Linked DNA regions of Caenorhabditis elegans. The protein of the gene in region 1 interacts with the protein of each later gene in a pairwise test. Each region holds a gene or a part of one and is shown on either strand. Other genes may lie near its edges.

Region 1 (10,321 bases):
TTTCTTCTAGAAGAAACGCTTAACAACACGCGACGCGTAACATCGGAGCGTCGTTGTCAATTTTTTCCTCGAAAAAATAGCGTTTCATAAGTTGGCACGGTGCCAGATCCGGAAAACGTAGATCCGGAAAACGTAGATCCGGAAATGGTCGATCCGGAAAACGTAGATCCGGAATCCCACCAGATCTTGAAACCGTGGTGTCTCTATTTTTGTAAAAAAAAACAAATATGTGTGTGCCTTGAAAGAGTACTGTAGTTTCAAACTTTTGTTGCTGTGAAATTTTTATCTATTTTTCATAGTTTTCTATTGTTTCTTTAAATAAATGCGCATATTTATGACGAAAAAATACGAAAATCCCACAAAATGAAAGTTTGGAACTACTCTTTAAAGACGCCTATTGTTTTTGATTTTACAACAAAGCAAAAAGGTTTTCGGCGCGAAAATCGCAAAATATCGGGGTTCTGGCGGTTTTTTTGACAACCAGAATACTGGAAATGTCGATGCAAATTAAGGAAAATCAATGAGAAGAAGTGAATTTGGCCTGAAGAAGTGAAAAAGTCATTTTCAAAAAAGTGTCCATATTCTACAGATGGCTCAAAAATTAGCCATTCCAGAAAACAAAACTATTTTTCTAAAGAACACAATTGTTTCCCTTGTTTCTCGGGGGGTCCAAAGAAATCAAAAATATCCAAGAGCCGTTTCACAACTTTCTTGAAGCCAAGGGTGCACACAAAAAACTGAAAATATGTAGAATTGGTTCCCATCAAATTAATTTATTGAAAATCAAAAAGGCTTTTTGCACATTTCGATGAATAATTGTTTTTAAAAAAAACAGCTCAAAATAATAAACCGAAGAATCAGATTTATCTACTTTAAATTAAAACAATCACTGATGCAGCAGTAAGTCAATCAGGTGTGTAATATAAAGCATTTCTGATGATCAATAGAATAGTTCAAACAACTTTTAGATTTTTTTTTCCTTTTTTAATGTTTAGTGCACCCTTGATTGAAACTACTGTTATCACCAAAAACGCAGATTTTTTTCATTTTCTGACTTTCGTGGTCATACTCCAATGCAATAAAATATGGCTCTTTGATGTATTTCCGATGAGATTATTTATGTTATCGTACTAAATGTATTCACAAATGGATATGATGACGTAGGAAGAGATCTAGAAGATTAGATGAGGGCGTTTTGGCATCAGGTGCCAATGAAAACGTATAAAAAAGTTTTATGTGTGTGAAGAGTGGAACGGAATTGAAGAGAAAGCTGCATTTGAAAAGAAAAATAAACGTTTTTTTTTTGTATAAATAGAGCAATTTCTTACTTTCTATATAGAAAACACAGAGAACTTTTGAATAGAAAGCAACGTTTCAAAGATGAATCATATTATGACGATTTCACCGAATTTATTTTCGCATAGCTAAACAAGGAAATATAAAGAATGATGAAGTGAACGGTGCATTATTTCAATTTTTGGATTACTGTTTCAGGAATTTTAAATTGAATAATGAATTTGAATAAAACTTTTAGACATATTTGATTTCATATTATACATTTTTCTAAATTTTTAGAATGATTTTTTCCGAAATTCCCTCGCATTAATCTATATTTTTAATATTTAATTTGAAACATTTTTTGCCAAATTTTCATCAATTTTCCGTGAGGGAAACTTGATAACCTGAAAGAAATTGAGATAAAAACAATAACATGGAATTTTTAATTTTCGAAACTAGGTGATTCATTTTTGCGGGAATTCGAAATTAATTCAACATTTTAATTTTTGCTAAATTAAAAAAGATTATTAGAAATATTTAGAAAAATTGTATTTTCAAAAAATTTGACAGTATTTACGATCCATTTTTTTTTTGTTAAAACACATTCCTCAACTTATATTACTTAATTAATTATTTAATCATTAAGGCAAGAGAAATTTGATAAAATTGGAAAAAAATCAATTTTTGAAGCTTGGAGGCTTTTATGGAAAATGTATGAAAAAGTAAAATTGTTTGGATCACCGAAACGGGCCATAACAACCGATTATCCAAGATTTCCGTTTCGGAAAACGAAGAAAATGTTAGAGAGTAGTTGAGCGAAACAAAAAAATGAGAGAAAGGTTTCCTTTTTTCTCAGCGTCTAGTAATTTTTCTCGTGGGGATTTTCGATACTCTATCGTTGTCAGAATAGTCAGACGACGAATAACAAGATGGCAAATTGACGTCACGTGGGGGGAAAGCTGATTCATTGTAAATTCTGTTACGATTAAATAAAAATCATATAAAATGGATATGAGTTTGAATAACACTAACTGAAAAAAACCCTAGTAGGAAAAAATAGTTCAAAGGAATTTCTTCACGATGAAAAAGAGTTCCAGTGCCAAAGCGAGTTCAGCAGGAGCTTTCTAACATCTCTACCCACCCTCTTCATCCTGTTACACTATTTCGTCTCACGGAGAATATTGATTTTGACGAGAAAGAGACGAAAAGATGCGCACACAGACACACGCACATGCGAGAAGGCTGTCAATGAGAAGAGAATCAACCCTCGAGACACACAAATACTGAGTTCCTACTGGTTTTGAACTTGTAACGCCGTTTTTTTTCTGAATTTTTGAGATGGCAATGGAGGGAGGGGTAATTTTAATTTGGCAGCAAGCTGCGCCATGGTTTGTCGCGAGAAAGCTCGTTTAGAGTTTATGAAGCGCAGGCGTCATAGAACACTGGCAAAAAATCTCCTAACTTTTGTTTTTAATTAAAATTAATTAATTTATGTTTTTTTTAATAAGAAACAATCTAAATATTACCTAGATTTGTTATTTATGTAAGTTCTATTAAAAGTTGAATTTGAACAAGAAAATTGGGCAAACACGAGTTTTCCCATTGACCACGAAACTCTGTTATCATTGAAAATCAGAATTTAAAAAAAAAGAAAATACGCAGAGAAACAGTCTGATTGGGTAAAGCGATAGTGGAACACGAGACCCGAAAAAATAACAAAATTCTAGTCTTTGAAACTTCAAAATAGGATGTTACAAATGTAAGGTTCTCGTCAAAATAGTACGGAAACTTGTTTTACGTAACTAGCGTCATGTTTTTAAATGATAAAATGAAAAAGGAAGTCACTAATGGTTCGAAAATTGGAAATGTTTTGAAGAAGTGAGTTATTACTTTTTGATGTAATGCTCAAGCCTGGGCTCTAAATGTATAAATTCGATCTACGACAACACGAAAGCTTAAAATTGTTGAAATGAAGGCAAACAATTGCCAATTTAAAAACAAAATTGTATGTGCTAGTGACAGCACGTGATTTTGAAAACCAATAACAAAATGAGAGGAGCGAGGCATCTGAACTCAGATTTTTATCAGCTAGATTCTGTGGAGGTTGACGGGAGAAACAGCATCATTGATTGTTGTTTCCACCTGTTTTGTTCATTTTTAACATTAACCACCTAATCCAGGAGATTGTCAGGGAAAACCTACGAAGAACATTTTTTCATGTAAGAAATGTAGGTTAAATTGATAAAAAATTAATTTACAGAAATAGGAGACATCTTGACGAAAAACAAAGAAACGAATTGAACCAACTCTAGAAACAGAATGGTTTGTCTTCAAACCAGCGCGTTTTATTTTCACTGATGGAGCGATCTAAAATAAGTCGGAACAATAATCTACATTGAAAATTGTTTAGATGGATTCTGGGTCGGCGTCGACTCCCTTGAACCAGTGTCCGCACTCGCATCTCTTTGGATCTCCTTTGCGAATTGTCATGAAATTGACATGTCCGGAATCTTGCTCACCTGAAAAATAGTTGTTTAATTGAATCAATCATGCTTTTAAATATAACTTACACATGCATCCAATGATTCTGAAGTCGTAGTGAGATGGGACCAAATTTGGCTTCTGCTTGGTGGAAGCCTCAGCGCGATAGTAGACTTTTGGCTCGTAACGCTGAAGAATGAAACTTTTATTATTTAACTTTGAAAAGATGAAGAAATAGTAGATAATTTGCCACTTTTACTAAATGGGTTTCATTTTGTAAACACTTTCTCATTAAAAACCAGTATTAGATACGATAACGACTCAAATTGCAAATCTCCCTCAGATCAGCTTCGACAAAGTTCGTTCAATACGACTCACACTTCAAGACAAAATCTCGAGAGCGAAGTAGCTCACAATTAGCTAAATTGATACATCATGGGGTATACTTTGGAAATTATTGGGAAAATTGTTAAATTTTATTAACAAAAACTCACATCATCTCCAGCAAGACGAGCGAGAAGCATCTTCTTTTCACGTCCGGTAGCGTGCTCAAGTGGATCTGGGTAGTATCCGTAGTCTTCTGGCGAGGCTTCAGTGGCCAAAGTACGACGGGCCACGGCAGCTGGAGCGACGAGCTTCTTCGAAAGGGCGGCAACAGCCGTCTTAGCAAGTTGAGCCATCTGAAAAATACAATTGTATTTCTCAAGTATCAAAAACGACTAAATATAAATTCGATTTCGAATGAAGAAAATTATCGATCGGGAGTCTAAAAATCAAAAAAGGAAGGTGGCCTTATTGAAATAGGGTTAAATTAAAAGATAAACCTCTTGAAAAATCAGAAATTTTTTGAAGAACACTTATATTCTGATTGGACCCTTGAAAATGCGAACAATAGCCGAAAAGAGCCAAAAACGCTTGGCACGATTTACGGAGCCTCAGTGGCGGGCGTACACTCGGCGTACACTCGGCATACACTACGCGCGTCTGTTGCAACGCACAAGACGCTCCTCAATACGAAACACCGTAATGCGAAGAGGATTTGAATTCGTTTCGTCCACTAGGCGCGCTCGGGAGAAATTTTCACTTTTTTTGGCGCGAAACAGACGACAATAGGATTGGGAGATGGCTGTCATTCTTTCTCATTTTTCGCTTCTCAATCGCTCGTATTCTCTCTCTTCGATTTGCTCCTAAAATGGAGTTGTTTGAAAGTTGACTCGTTGTCTACACATGCTGTAAATATTGAGCCACATTTTATTGTTTGTTAACAAATTTTCTTGATTATATTGCAACTTGTGTGTTCAATAGAATCTTTAGTTTTAGGGAATTCGTTTCTCCAGCGGCTAATAAAATCATTATAGATTTGCATTTCGGCTTCTACTTTAGTTACGTGCTATTGCTTGTGATGTTTTTAATTTTTATTTATTTTATCATAGCTTATTTACTGAAACTTAAACTTCGTTTTATTATTTTTTGCATTGAAATCTGAATCGTCCCGATGAATATTTGCATTTTCATGAATAGGACATCCAAGCGTCTATATCATGAACATCGGATTAAGGTTTAGTGGAGAACCTATTTCGCAATATACACCAGATGGCCACTACTAGTCATGTCCACCGAGGAATAGGGTCGCCGCTGTCCTTGGCCAATCGGACAAGCGTCGCTCGTTCCTCTCTCTGACCCGGCACTGCCTCTCTGACCAGTTTCATCCAAGTGACAGATGTCTAGAGCAAGGCAGAAAAGATTGTCGTCTTTAGTCTTCCAATTTGAGTTGTTTTACCCTTTCCTCGCACCAGAATATCTAATGACGAAGAGCTCTGTTTTCTTTCCCAGCCCGACTTTCATTTCTCATTTGACTAGATGCATAGAACCCAATAGGGTTTGACTGCTGTGTATGTACCACGATGCAATGGGCGTAATTGCTCTCTGTTTTCAACGGTCCGAGTCTTTTTCGCTATTTCGCAATACTCTTGAGAGCTAGCATTTCATATGTATGCAATTGGGTTTGTTTCATTTGGAGGCTCATAAATTTTATATCCCAAACCTTCTCCATCTCGTTAACTAATGTAAGTTCCTGGTTTTGTTTTTATTTACTTGTTGTAAACCTTGTACCAAGTTTATATCTGGTTTATTGCCCTGAAAACTATTCAGCCGGAATTGTCAACAGGATTATTTATAATTGAGTTGACCTTGTTTCCTAGTTGATCGACTCCTATGATTTTATCATTCGTACTTTACGCCATATGTTATCCGCGTTCATTTATGATTTCATTTCTTCTAATTTCCGTTAATTTTCAGGTTCGTTTTCAACATGCGTGAGGTCATCTCCATCCACGTCGGACAAGCCGGAGTCCAAATCGGTAATGCTTGCTGGGAGCTCTACTGTCTCGAGCATGGAATCCAGCCCGATGGAACTATGCCATCAGACCAACAAGCCGATGGAGAATCTTTCACCACCTTCTTCTCCGATACTGGAAACGGAAGATATGTTCCAAGATCGATTTTTGTAGATCTTGAGCCAACTGTTGTTGGTAAGCAATAATAAAAACCGTTTCAAATTCAAATTTGTTTTTTTTTTCAGATGAGATCCGCACTGGAACCTACAAGAAGCTGTTCCATCCAGAACAGATGATCACCGGAAAGGAAGATGCCGCCAACAACTACGCTCGTGGTCACTACACCGTCGGAAAGGAACTGATCGACACTGTTCTCGACAGAATCCGTCGCCTCGCTGACAACTGCAGTGGTCTTCAAGGATTCTTCGTCTTTCATTCATTCGGAGGAGGAACTGGATCTGGATTCACCTCATTGCTTATGGAGCGCCTCTCGGTTGACTATGGAAAGAAGTCGAAGCTGGAATTCTCCATCTACCCAGCCCCACAAGTCTCGACTGCCGTCGTTGAGCCATACAACTCTATACTGACGACTCACACCACCCTCGAGCACTCCGACTGTGCGTTCATGGTCGACAACGAGGCTATCTATGATATCTGCCGCAGAAACCTCAGCGTTGACCGTCCAAGTTACACCAACCTGAACCGCATCATCTCGCAGGTTGTGTCTTCCATCACCGCTTCCCTCCGTTTCGATGGAGCTCTCAATGTTGATCTCAATGAGTTCCAAACCAACTTGGTCCCATATCCAAGAATTCATTTCCCATTGGCTGCGTACACTCCACTGATCTCTGCTGACAAGGTATACATTTTTAATGTCAAATTGTTAAAAAAGTAATGATTTCAGGCTTACCATGAGGCTCTCTCTGTCAATGACATCACCAACAGTTGCTTCGAGCCAGCCAACCAAATGGTGAAGTGCGATCCACGCCACGGAAAGTACATGGCTGTTTGCCTCTTGTACAGAGGAGATGTCGTTCCAAAGGACGTCAACACTGCCATCGCCGCCATCAAGACCAAGAGAACCATTCAATTCGTTGACTGGTGCCCAACTGGATTCAAGGTCGGAATCAACTACCAGCCACCAACTGTTGTTCCAGGAGGAGATCTCGCCAAGGTACCACGTGCCGTATGTATGCTCTCCAACACCACCGCCATCGCTGAAGCCTGGTCTCGCTTGGACTACAAGTTCGATCTTATGTACGCCAAGCGCGCCTTCGTTCACTGGTACGTCGGAGAAGGAATGGAGGAGGGAGAGTTCACCGAGGCTCGTGAAGACTTGGCTGCTCTCGAAAAGGACTACGAAGAGGTCGGAGCTGACTCGAACGAGGGAGGAAACGAGGAGGAAGGAGAAGAGTATTAAACTCGTGCCGCCTGCTCCAATCTGCATAATACTGAACTCGCATCAATTTCTGCTTAATTCGCTTCTTTTTATTTTTTTCTAAATTTTGAATGAAAAGAGTTCCAATTTCTATGCTCATCGCTTGTGTTGTATACGATAAATTATTTCGAATCAATTACCATAGTTAACGTTTTCATCTGAAATTGTAGACAGATTTAGATTTTCATTTAGATGTCGGACGAAAAGATTTCAATGACGCTTAACTTCCCGAAACACAAGCGGGCTCGAAGAAAGAAATATCAGAAGGAGTATCAGGAACGTCACAAGGAAGAAATGATGCAGCAATTAGGAAGAAGATTTCAAAATCAACCATCAACTTCAAGTGCCCCACCTGATACTGTTGAAAAAATTCCATTGCCTACTGAATCAACGTCAGCATTGCCATTTGGAGATTCTCCAAGATTAACAGAAAAAGATTATGAGACGAATTATATGATAGATCCTCCAGTTGTTTCTACACATTCGGCAGAGCTTATAAAATCGAATAGAGTTGTTATAAAAGCAGAAGAAGCTGAAAAATATATGATGGTACGATTTAACCGTTTTCGTTTTTATAAAAATGTGGTTTTTTATTTCAGATCAAAGCTAAATCAACAACAAGTAAAATACTTCAAGATTTTCAAACTAAAATTCTGGAAACTGTTAAAACAAAACGTCGACTTCAAGCTGATGTTCCTTATATAATTCATCCATGTCATTCAATGAAAGGCCGGAAAACGCCAAAACAGAAAGGAGGAGACGAAAGTTTTACGGCATCTGATGTGTCTGATGACTCGAACGATTCTCAGGATGAAGCTTCTACTTCAGAGCCAACAAACAGACAAGCTCCTGAAGCGGACAAGACCGGAGAAGTAAAAGATGAGAAACAGACATGTAATCGGAGGAATCAACAGAGAAAGTATGCAGCTTCTCTAAAATACCCATGTTAATTTTTTAAGATAAACGCAAAAATTTCGATGTTTGCTGCAAAAATACCGTGTCTGGTCTCGACACGACAATTTCTTGTTGAATGCAATGTGCGCGCCTTTAGAGTACTGTACTTTCAAACTTGTGTTTTTGCAGAATTTTCATCGATTTTTCGATACAGATTTGTTTTTTTTTTTCAAACTGAAATGAAACATTAAATCACACATGATTTTGTGGGAAAACTATGAAAATTCAAAAATATCGGCTACCATATTTTTGGCACAAAAAAATGCTGCCTCTTGTAATTTTCAATTGTTCTTGTTTAAGAGCGAAAAGATTGCGGAATTTCGAAGAAAAGGAACGGCAAATCACACTTTTGAAAAAAGGAATTGATCGAAAGAAGACTCATCCAAATGGAATTCATCCGGATATCTCATTCAATGAAAAAGGTTTGGGAAACGAAGGACCAGAGTGTAGATGTCCAGAACCAATAAAAACTTGTGGCCTGAAACATGGATATTATGCAGGTGAAGATAAGGCTATAGATTGCAAGAAAAGGTAATTTTATTTTAGAATTTTAAAAATAAAAATGATTTTTTTTCAGCAATGGCGAAAACCTGCATTATTACACCCTTCGAGTCACACCTTTGCCAAGCGAAAATCAACTTTATAGAACACATATGGCAATAAATGGAGAGGAATTTGAATTTGAAGGATTCTCATTAATCACACATGCACCACTTCCGGATTGTATGACAAGAGCACCAATTTGTAAATATAGTATGGATTATGAATTTCAGTTGGTTGAAGAATTTATGCCTGATGAGGTGAGTGAAAAAATATTTCTTTTCAAAATATTAAATGTTAATTTTAAATTTCAGTGTTTCGACCCAGAAGATTGTGACATGCTGTTTGAGTATATATTTCATGAAATATTTGAAATGCTCGATTTTGAACTACGTCCGAAGCATATACCATCTGATGTTGAATCTTGTCCAATGATCCATATTATGCCGCGTTTTGTTCAAACAAAGGATGATCTTGTTCAACTTTGGTCTTCAAAAACAGTTCTTGCATATTTCACGAGCAAAGGAAGTTCAGAGATAATGAGCCCAGAAGATGTTAACCGCCTTTGTGATGCTCAAATTGATCAGTTCACTCGAAATACTTCGAAGCATAAGCAATCGATTGTTCTCAATACAAAATTCAAACCTTCTGCTATCAGAGCCGATTGGTTTGAGAGAGATGAAGAAAAGAAAGAAGTATATGTTGTACATAATGCGATCCGTGCACAGACATATACAGCAATTTCGCTTCCAAGAATCGCATTTCTCGAGAAAACATTAAATAAGATGATACAAGAGAAACAAAGCAGTGGTGTTTATAATAAAGATTTTGAGAAAACGAAGAACGAGCTGGAACATCTGAAAAGAGAGAATCGATCAGCTCGAAATCTGAAGCTTCGGGAGCCAGTAGCTGGATTCATTGAAACAGGATTGAAGCCTGATGTGGCAGCACATGTTGTCATGACAATACTTGCATGCCATCATATTCGATACAATTTTTCATTGGATGTATTTGAAGAAGTCATCGAATATAAATTCAACGATAGAAGAGTCATCGAATTAGCGTTAATGCATTCGTCGTTTAAAAGTCATTATGGTACTCCAATTGATCACGTCAAGAATATGATTACAAATTGTGGATATCGTCGAAAATACGGAGCAGAAGATAAGCGAGAAAAGAAACGAGGTTCGAGATTGAAACTAAAATTTTTAGATAAATTTAATTTTGTGTAACTTAAGAATATAAAATTTAGTATCATTCGTAAGGCGGCCTATCAGAAGTACAGTAACCAACT
Region 2 (10,360 bases), on another chromosome or scaffold:
TGGAGCGAGAATTCGGTTTCCAAATCTGAAAGTTCAAAATAAAATTATAAATCTCTTCAAATACTTTGAAAAAACATTCTTACCGCATAACCATCAAATTCTGAACCATTTCTTTTCCGAGATAATGATCAATACGGTAGATTTGATCTTCTTTAAAAAGTTTCGCCAAATGAGTTGAAAGTTCACAAGATGATTTCAAATCATGTCCAAATGGTTTTTCTATGATAACACGTGTCCATGAATCACCATGATCCATACAATTCTTCTTTAATTCCGTAGAAACCACGTTGAAAACTGATGGAGGAAGAGCGAGGTAGTAGAGACGATTGACGGCTTCTATAAATTTGCTTAGATTGAGTGAAATTTAATTCTAAACCTACGATTATTGCTTTCTTTTTGGAAATCATCAATTGAAGATTGAAGGCGTTGGAATCCTTCAGAAGTGTCGTATTGGCCCTGAAAAAATGTCAATGGTGCTTTTTATGTTCAAAGTTTCTAGAAAAAAGCTTCGATTCAAATTTTTATTACCCAGTAACAAGATTTTGTGCGAAAAATACGGTAACCGGTCTCGACCCCACAATTTTTGTTGAATGCAAAAAAGTGCGCGCCTTTAAAGAGTACTGTAGTTTCAAGTTTTTGTTGGTTTTCGTAGTTTTCCTACCTGATTTGTAAAAAAAATGTATGTGTTGCAATTATTTTTTTTCAGTTTTAAAACAATTTTTTTAAAATCTGAAATCGACAAAAGCTTGAAGCTACAGTACTGTTTAAAGGTGATACGTTTTCGCATTTAACACAAATTTGTGGTGTCGAGACCGAGCACTGTATTTTTGGAACAAAGTTTCACGCCTATTTATTAGCAGATGTAGATTTACCTGAACGTATGAGCACTTCTTGATGAAGTCATCAAAAGCACATTTCTCATTTTCTCGAACTTTACAGTTTTTCTCAAAAGATTCACGAAGCTTGAAAACTGTCAGATCGGAACGGGCATATCCAATAAATTTGATGTTGACTGGCAAAAGGTTGTCACGGAACAACCACCACAGTGTTGGGTATATTTTCTTTTTTGCGAGATCTCCCTGAAAAAATGTTAAATAATTAATAATCGATATATATGGAATAGATGTCATACCGATGCTCCAAATATCACGAAAACGTACGGAGTCTCAAATTTGAGATCTCTTTGCATTGATTCACGAAGACACTCGACGAGATCCTTCGAAATGGGATCGGACACTGAATGACGTTTGCATGCCATTTCTGTAAATTTATAAACTAGATTTTGAAGTGAGAATGACGAACATTGATTCACAAAAATTACTCGTGTTGAGAGGTAAATAGTAGAAACTACAAGTTTCAAAGTAAACCATCTAGATACACATAAATGTTATTTAAAAGTGAGATTATTGTTTCATTTATACAACGAAAAATCAAAAAGAAATACGTTAATTGATATATTGATGTACTTCATAATGATTCTGCGCAATTCTTTTTTACTGGCAGAGTAATAAACTGCTTACTTTCAGCTAGTTACATTTAATGGAATAATGTTAATTTCTAGCACTAAAAAATGTAATTTTTCCTTTCGAATCATATACCTAGTAGCGAACCGCAGTCTACAATATAAATGAATTGGAACAACTGGAACAACACTATAAATCGGTCACTTTTTACTCCACTTCCATTTTTTTCACAGGGCAGCGAGAGAAGAAAGAAACAGTAAGAGAAAAGTGGATGCGCCAGTCTCTTTACAAACATGAAAATATTTACTGAAATCTTCTCGGGTCACAAAAAATGATGACTGAATGAAATTGTGTAGTGTGTGCGAGTGGTAACCATGACAAATAATGTTCTCTGGGCGACATTGATCGACAATGAAAAGAAACAATGTATTTCTCTAGGAAACATAAAAACTCGAGTAACTTGACTCTGGAGAAGAGACGAAACTTTGTAACTCTAGATTTAATCTATGGTTCTTGACTTTTAGTTGACCGACTAGGATATTCTGGAACACATTTTTTTTGGATTTTATCTGGAAGATGAATTCTTCGAAGACTTAGTCTATCAGAGAAAAAACTAATTTCGTTTTCAGAAAACAAATCAAAAATCACTGAACTTGAAAGTTTATCAATTTGATTAACGTCTGATCAGTTTACCAAATTAACAAGAAGACAAAGAAAAAGAAGAATGAAAACTGTTCTTTGCAACTCCTAAATAACTATGCATTTTCAACCATAAATTCTGCCAATCGGGTTTCATTTGGAAAACGGAGCACACGAATGGCCACATTTATTTGTGTCTCTGCCGATCATTTTTTTAGAAGGTGAAAAGTGCAAACAAAATATGAGGAGAAAAAAACGGAAAATGCTGACAAAACTTCGGAGGTGACAAAGAAAGAAACGGATAAAAAAGGTGAGAAAAGAAAGGGCAGACAAATTAAATGGACAGAAAGACAATCGGGAAAGAATGTTGCCAATTTGGGAATATAATTAATTTTCAAGTATTTTTTTAAAGAGAAATTGAATATTTTCTGTTAAATTCAAATATTTAGAATGCTACATTCTAGCCAGTCTATTGTGGAAATCATGATAAGATTGTCTGAAAGATAATGGATTTTTCCAAAATGCTATTATATTACGTGGGCGAGCGTCTCCTCTATAAATAAAGAGCAATGGGAAACAAAACATGTAAACTAAAATGAACACCAAACACGAAAAAACCTTCCTCTTCCCGTCCACTATATTGATATTTAGGATCTGGTGTGACCCACAAGTGGGTGGTGCCATTCGTGATAAGGAAAATCGGTCGAAAAAATTCATCAGCAAAATACGCGGAAACAGTGAACAGTGAGCACACGTTGTGAAAAAGGTGAGAAAAGCAATTTTTAAATTGAGATAATTTTTATATATGAAAGCTTCAACGGAAAAGATACAAAATCGAGCAAAATAAGAAATTAGAATTTATAGATTATTCTTCAGCGTCCAAATTGATCTGATCTCCGAATTTGGCGTACAAAACCTTCTTGATTTGCTCCATGTCCGCTGAGATTGCATCCAACTCGGAGGTTTTCTCAGACAAAACCTTCTCTGCTGTTGTCTTCTTTCCTTCCAAATGCTCATTCAGACTATCCTGAAAACCAATCACTACTTTCGTGTAAACCAAACGTTAATTCTCAATTCAAATTAAAAAAAAAACTGCTCACCCCATTGAAATGAACGAAGCAGCTTCCAATTCTGCATGGAATTGATGCTGAATCCTCATCATCGAGCAACAAAATTTCATCACTTGCTTCATTGATATTGTCAATGAGTGTTTTAGCTTCTTTAACGTCTGCCTGAAATTAAAGAAGAGAAACTTTAATGTAAAATTTAAAAAAAAACGTACTTTTAACTGGGTTTGTGTTTGGTATGACCGAGCGAATTTATTGAGAAGCGCTTGGTCTTCAGCAGAAACTTTCGTGTGTTCCGGCATTCTAAATTATTTTTAATTCAAAGATTTAATTAAAGAAACAACGAAGAAACAACATTAAAAGATATTAAACAGAAAATTCTGGAGAGAGAAACATAAAAATAAGAAAACTCAGCCACGGCCGCACGAAATTCTAGTCCATGTTGCGTGTAGTCCTCGTGAACAATTTCTTCCACGCGTTGTTTTATCCTAATTTGTTTTGTTTTTAAGTCACTATCAGTTCAAATTTAAGGCTGATAAAAAATGGCAGCAGCTAAAATTTCAGAAATTCCAACTCTCTTTGAAAAATGTAAGCTTCAGGCGTTTCATAATTCTAAAATAGTACACAATTTTCAGTCAAGGTTGCCAAAAACGTTCTGGGCCGTATCAGTGTCTGGGATGGAGATATTACTAAACTTTCCGTCGACGCAATTGTCAATGCAGCAAACAGTCGATTAGCTGGAGGTGGTGGCGTTGATGGTGCAATTCATCGTGCAGCTGGACGGAAGCAACTACAGGAAGAATGCCAGCAATACAACGGATGTGCTGTCGGAGATGCTGTCATTACCTCTGGATGCAATATTAATCACATCAAAAGTAAGTATTTATAGCATTGTTTGATCGTATTTTATTGGAATTTTCAGAAATAATCCACACAGTTGGTCCACAAGTATATGGAAATGTCACAGATGAACGGCGTGAAAATCTTGTTGCATGTTACAGAACATCACTAGATATTGCTATCGAGAACGGGATGAAGAGTATTGTAAGTGTTTCATCTGAAAAATAACTGCAAATATTATATATTTTCAGGCCTTCTGTTGCATTTCTACTGGTGTGTACGGTTATCCAAATGACGATGCCGCTAAAACCGTCACCAATTTCCTGACCGAGTATCTTGAAAAGAATGATACAATTGAACGGATTGTACTTGTTACATTCCTTGACATTGACAACGAGCATTACAATAAGTATTTCGGTGATTATGCTGCATCAAAGGATCAAAGTATCGCCTAAAACTTTCTATTGCACATTTACTGTACATGACTATTTTTATTTTATGTTGACTCCATAATCTCACTATCAGATCGGTTTTGATCCGTAATGTTTACATTGTTTCCGGTGTTGATTGCTTCATAAACATGTCACATTTCACCTATGATTATTTGTGTTTTTCTCTCATTTTCCGATTTTCGGTGATTCATATTTCAGTTCTCATTTTTAAATTTTTTCTCAATCTTTGTTTTTCAGCAGAATGCGCTCAGCAATTGCGGCGCCCATCTTGTTCTTACTAGTATCATTTTTCGTCCAGGAATGTGAATCGGTCGGATTTGCTCCAGAGCTCTATTGTGGATTAGAAAACTGTTATGATGGTGAGTCAAAACTTTCATGAAGATCTGAAAACGTTAAAACTATAAATGCATTCATATTTACAGTACTCGAAGTCAATCGTGAGGAATTCGATAAGCAGAAGCTAGCTAAAGCATATAGAGCTCTGGCTAGGAAGCATCATCCAGATAGAGTCAAGAATAAGGAAGAGAAGCTTCTCGCCGAAGAACGTTTCCGAGTAATTGCCACTGCTTATGAAACACTTAAGGATGATGAAGCAAAAACTAATTACGACTATTATCTCGATCATCCTGATCAAAGGTATGACGCTCTGAATATGAACACTTAAATATTCTTTATTTAAGATTCTACAATTACTATCAATATTATCGTCTTCGCGCCGCTCCAAAAGTAGATCTTCGAATTGTCATTGTTGGAACTATTCTTATCATTTCACTCTTCCAATTCCTCTCTGCAAAACACAAGTTCTCAGAAGCAATCGAATATGCAACCGGTGTTGGAAAATTCCGCAATATGGCAATTAAAGATGGAATTGATAAAGGCGTAGGTCGATTTTTAAGCTTGCACTGTAATTAATATCTAGCTTTCAGTTGCTGGAAATGGATCGGAATGGAAAATTAAAAAAGAACAAAGGAGTTGACAATGATGAAGTTATCAAGCAAATAATTATTGATAATCTTGATGTCACGTCAGTTATTCTTGAGATTTTTCGTAAAATAATTTGAGCTACATTTTAGGGGTGGCTACAAACGAGAATCCATCTACGATACTCTCGCATGGCACACAATTATTTTCCCATTAACGATATTCCGATACATTAAATGGACAGCACTTTGGTATTGGAGATTTGCAATTCAAAAGGAGGAATATGATGATGACGCCAAGCTTTATCTCATTAGAAAGTACATTGGAGTTTCACAAATGGAATTCGATCAGGTAAATACTTTTTTCTATCATCAAAAGTTAATAATTTAATTTTCAGAAGTACACTGATGAAGACATTGATGATCTTTTTGAACGAGAATGCTGGCTGAAACGAAACTGTGCAACGTGGAAAGCCGAACGAGACGCTGCGGAACAAGAAAAAATGGCTCAATCGGGTCGGTACAAAAGGTATAAGAGATATATGAAAAACGCGGGAACTATTTCGTTTGTCGATGAAGATTAAATATTTACTAAAAATTACTTATTGCATTTTATAACTCGTTCTTTCTAAATTATTATTCCTTTATGCAGCTGTTTTATCATCAAATTTTTATAGCATTTCATGTTTTCACTTAACTCGAATGTTTCTCCGAGTTTGCGAGCATAATCTACTTCTTTCTTACCAATATTGATGTTTTTTCTTCATTTTCAATCTTTTTTTACTGTGGGTGATAATTTATTCAATTGATAAAAATTGCTTTTTTTTTTTGGAATTTCAAAAATAAAAACCCATCGATGGATTATTCAATAATTTAACATGGACGAGAGGACAATTTTCAGTAAAACACAGAATATAAGGTAAATGGGCGGGACATGAAAGAAGAAGAGATTCGGAAGTGCTCAGTGATAGGGATTGCTGCGTTTTTCGAAGAGCATTTTTACACGACGCTCCTCTAGAGACAGCGAATGATCATCTGGATAGACTATTCTTGTCCTCGAGCCAAGTTTAGATGCAACTACTGCCGCAGCAGAAGCGGCAGCTGCACCAGAAGACGTAGTTGGTGGACCGTTGTTAGGCTTAAAATATTAAAATTAAAAACAAGTTTTATTTAACTTTATTTTATGAAATATCAATAAAGCTCGATCGAAATCCCATTATTTGAAATCAAGGAATATACCTCGACGATTTCCTCCTTTAGTTCAGCTTTCACTTGATCAAATCGGCTACCTCCCGGTGGACCTCCACGATCACCTTCTCTAAACCGATCATCGTATCCTCCTTGATTGTAGTCATCTGGAGCTTGATAATCTTGATGTTCTGAAATTTATTAGCTTGCTAAATCAAGCTTTTACGAATGCCATAAACTCACCATGCTCGTTTTCATATGGTGGCGTCCGTGGTACTCCTCGCATTGGTGGACCCCACCTGTCTCCGCCGTCAGGTTGATCAAATCGGCTTCTTTGAGGAGGACCAGGCATGGGTGGGCCACCAGGTGGTCCATGACCTATTGGCATACGTGGTGGAGGATATGCACCAGGCATTCCTGGCGGAGGCATATACACGCCAGGAGCTGGCGCTGGAGGGTATCCACGTGGCGGAGGATAAGCTCCTGGCATCCCGCGAGGTGGCATCATACCAGATGGCATTGGAGGCATTCCGTATGCCATTGACGGTGGTGGTGGACCTAAAAAATCAACCGTTTTTAGAATGGAACTTAAATATGTTTTCCGCACCCGACGGCATAGGAGGCATTCCAGGAAATGGGAAATGCTGTGGGAAAGGCATAGGAGTTGGCATAGGTGGTCCATTGTCCATCCTTGATCGTTTTTCGTCCGGTTCTTCGTCAGCTGCTCCACGATAAGCGCCAGACGGAATTCCTTGCATTCCGTAAATTTCAACGTGGATATTATCTCTGCCATGTACAGCTGCCGGTATTTTGTCTATAGTTTCTTTATGTACCTGTAATTCGTGGGATTACCGAATGACTTCTTTTTTCAAGAACAAAAAAAAATTAACCTGCATGCAGTGAATCGATAATCCTGGACCACTGAACAATTTTTTGTGACAAATATGACATTTGAAATGTTTGGCTTTTTGATGTTGTATCAGAATCTTTTCATCGTCAAATTCTCGGTTACAATACCTAAATTGAATAGTTTAACTTCAAGAACAGTACAATTATTTTAAAAACTCACCAGCACCATGGTTTATCGACCTTCTTCTTCTTTCTACCCATTTCTGATGGAGAATCTACGTATTTATATCTGAAATAGGAAGAAAAGAATAATTCAACTAATTTTAAAACTCGATTAGGAGAAAAATGTAAAAACCAGTTAAAATATTTCTTCGAAAGGAACGCATGCGCACAAGAAAATTCAATTTTGCAGAGTCCCGCACGAATTATGGGGAGGAGTTACACGCCCTCTGCAAGCCCGCCGCGCACTTTTCCTCTTATTTTACTGCCGTTGTTAACGGTTACCATGGTTTGCAAATAGCTTGTCTGAATCGAAACAAAGAGACATTTTTCAAATTTATTACAATAAATGGAGGAATGAAAAGGGGAAATGTACAATTTTGAAACGTATACCACAGAATTAGAAAAAAAAAACTGACTGTTCAATCAGATATATACTTAACAATTGCAATTGCATATGTACAAATCGTTTGGATATTTTTTAAAGTCGTAATGATTCTTCTAGTTTCTATAACTTTATGAAGTCGAGTGAAATAAATCCGATCGATAATTCGAATTTATTGTTTAGAAGTTTTATGTAAGTTGTCATTAAAATGCCCGTGGAGCTACCGTAACCTATATTTGAGTAACACAAAAAAGTTACTTTTATTATTATGACGGCATCCTTGAAGGTATTCTATAATAGTATTGCACATCAAACACTTTAAAAAATTAATTTTGAATTAAGTTGTTACAAAAGGACACACATAACTATTTAAAAACGCATATTTCAGCATTTTGTGCTCTTAATAATTTTGCAATTGTTTTTCAGGAACTTACAAAACTTTTGGAATTGTCGTTTTTTTGTAACAATTTAATTTTTTCTAATCAACTTTTTTGAAATGTTACTTATTCAAAAGTGGAATATTAACAATTTTGAAACACACAGTTTTCACCAATCATTTTTTGATAAAAAAAAATGGTTTCTTCCAATTTTATTTTTAAATTGTTCATATTCCATTGAAATAAAAGTTAAAATGCTTCCAAAAATATTGAAAAGTGCCAAAACGATATAGTATCGTACATTGCTAACCTTTCAATAAAGTTTGCAGAAAAAAATAAAGTGACGATAATTCAGATTTTGCCACTCATAATTTGGATATCACCCTACAAAATAAAACTACAATTTTCCCATTCTAATTATTTTCAAATTATTTATATATTCAGAAAAAGCAATTTACCGAAACTTTGTCCAAATTTTTTTTTGAAAATCTAAAACATTTCAAAGTGCTATACTGTTCATTTATGAGTATTATAGTTTCATTCAGACAAAATCTATTAAATAGTTATTTACCTCCAATTTATGAAATACGGTATTCGTATTTTCTTTTTTTCATACTATTTTTTCTGGCCACCCGTCACCTTGCTTCTTCTTCTTCTTTTCTTCTTTAGCTTTTTTCCATATTGTATCGTACCCCTCAATTTTCCTGCCACTTCGCATATAAATCTGTCCTTTTTGTTCCCTTCGATTCGGCAGTCATCATCGTTCATCTGGTCCTCCGTTCCTCTCTTCTTCCGTCCTTTTCGTCCCCACTCCCCGTTCACGAGCACATTATCTTCCGAAAAGTAGGCGGAGCCAGTCGGTTCGGCGCCCTTTTCTCATCCACCTGTTTCTCAGTGTCTCTTAGTTATTACACTATTACACATGGCGCCAATAAAAGGACCTCTTAGAATGGGAAGGGCCGTTCACTTGTTCGTTTCATTCTACATCACTTTACTGCTTTCTTTATTTATTCTTATGATATTTTGAGTTGATCTAGATATGACATCGTCCTGAAAACGAAACGGAACAAAAGTTCAAGATATTGATTTCGAATCGTTTATCAGGATGATGTGATTAAAATCAACTCGGACGGTAAGCGAGAGTTTTCAATTATTTTTAACTTTTTTTTGGTAAGATTTAACTACTATTGAGTTACTTTAGATATATGTAAGAAGTTTAGATATATTAAAGGAGCTGATTTTTTTAAAAAATTATTTATGGTCAGGAATTTCTTGATATGCATTTAGAAAAGTTTTTAATTTATGTCTGAGCATACTGTAGAGCCTTATTTCATTTTATTTTATTTTAATTTTGGTACGAATTGTTAATCGTGTGAACGCCTAGATTACCTAGAGCTTTTATAGTATTTCCGGCAAAAAGAAATTGGTGATGTTCTTCGTCAGTTTGTGTTTCGTCTGAATACACATAGTATTACCAAATATTATAAAGAAACACTCCAAAATATTTAAGATTTGGTAAATTGCCAAATGTTTCGATATGTTTTTTATTTTTCTATAAATTTAGACCAATGTCGAACGACTACCATGTTAAGACAGATAAAAAAAATCCTGATTAAAATATAAACGTTGTACTAGTTAAATTAATACACAGGAACGAAGTTTTACTATATCATTTGGTCATTTTAGCACTGTATATCCCATTGTTTTTGACAATTTCCTTACAGGCGTTAGTCAAGCAATTTTCTATTTCTGGTTCGCCAGAATATATAAAATAAAACCCCTTATGTGAAAAATTGAAACATTTTTATTATATTGGGATTTTTCAAAATCTACCTTAATGTTAAAAACTGAGCAATGCACTGGCTCAATGGTTTCTCCAATAACATTAAAATTTAGCGCTATTTGTGCTCTCTTTCCTAGTAGCCATAATTCTCAAGTAAATTTTAATAACTTTCCTAAAA

The links.
Region 2: the proteins of tba-1 (region 1) and dnj-2 interact in a two-hybrid assay, tested with the Caenorhabditis elegans proteins (one large-scale study listed by BioGRID).

Annotation. Positions count from the first base shown.
Region 1 is NC_003279.8:9,783,127-9,793,447, reverse strand, and holds tba-1 (Tubulin alpha chain), read left to right. Parts: upstream 1-5,823; coding exon 5,824-5,825; intron 5,826-6,057; coding exon 6,058-6,290; intron 6,291-6,340; coding exon 6,341-6,954; intron 6,955-6,999; coding exon 7,000-7,515; downstream 7,516-10,321. Other genes in the region: cox-5B (COX5B-domain-containing protein), read right to left, coding at 3,685-3,797, 3,849-3,948, 4,254-4,439; drsh-1 (Ribonuclease 3), read left to right, coding at 7,726-8,082, 8,133-8,452, 8,788-9,018, 9,065-9,287, 9,342-10,212.
Region 2 is NC_003282.8:11,308,319-11,318,678, reverse strand, and holds dnj-2 (DnaJ homolog dnj-2), read left to right. Parts: upstream 1-4,698; 5' UTR 4,699-4,702; coding exon 4,703-4,820; intron 4,821-4,883; coding exon 4,884-5,097; intron 5,098-5,141; coding exon 5,142-5,340; intron 5,341-5,387; coding exon 5,388-5,485; intron 5,486-5,534; coding exon 5,535-5,733; intron 5,734-5,779; coding exon 5,780-5,965; 3' UTR 5,966-6,245; downstream 6,246-10,360. Other genes in the region: gspd-1 (Glucose-6-phosphate 1-dehydrogenase), read right to left, coding at 1-25, 84-336, 381-456, 873-1,079, 1,133-1,258; pfd-4 (putative prefoldin subunit 4), read right to left, coding at 2,968-3,129, 3,203-3,334, 3,385-3,471; B0035.3 (Macro domain-containing protein), read left to right, coding at 3,712-3,757, 3,805-4,044, 4,092-4,213, 4,261-4,464; znf-207 (BED-type domain-containing protein), read right to left, coding at 6,343-6,519, 6,621-6,760, 6,813-7,127, 7,177-7,402, 7,460-7,586, 7,639-7,679.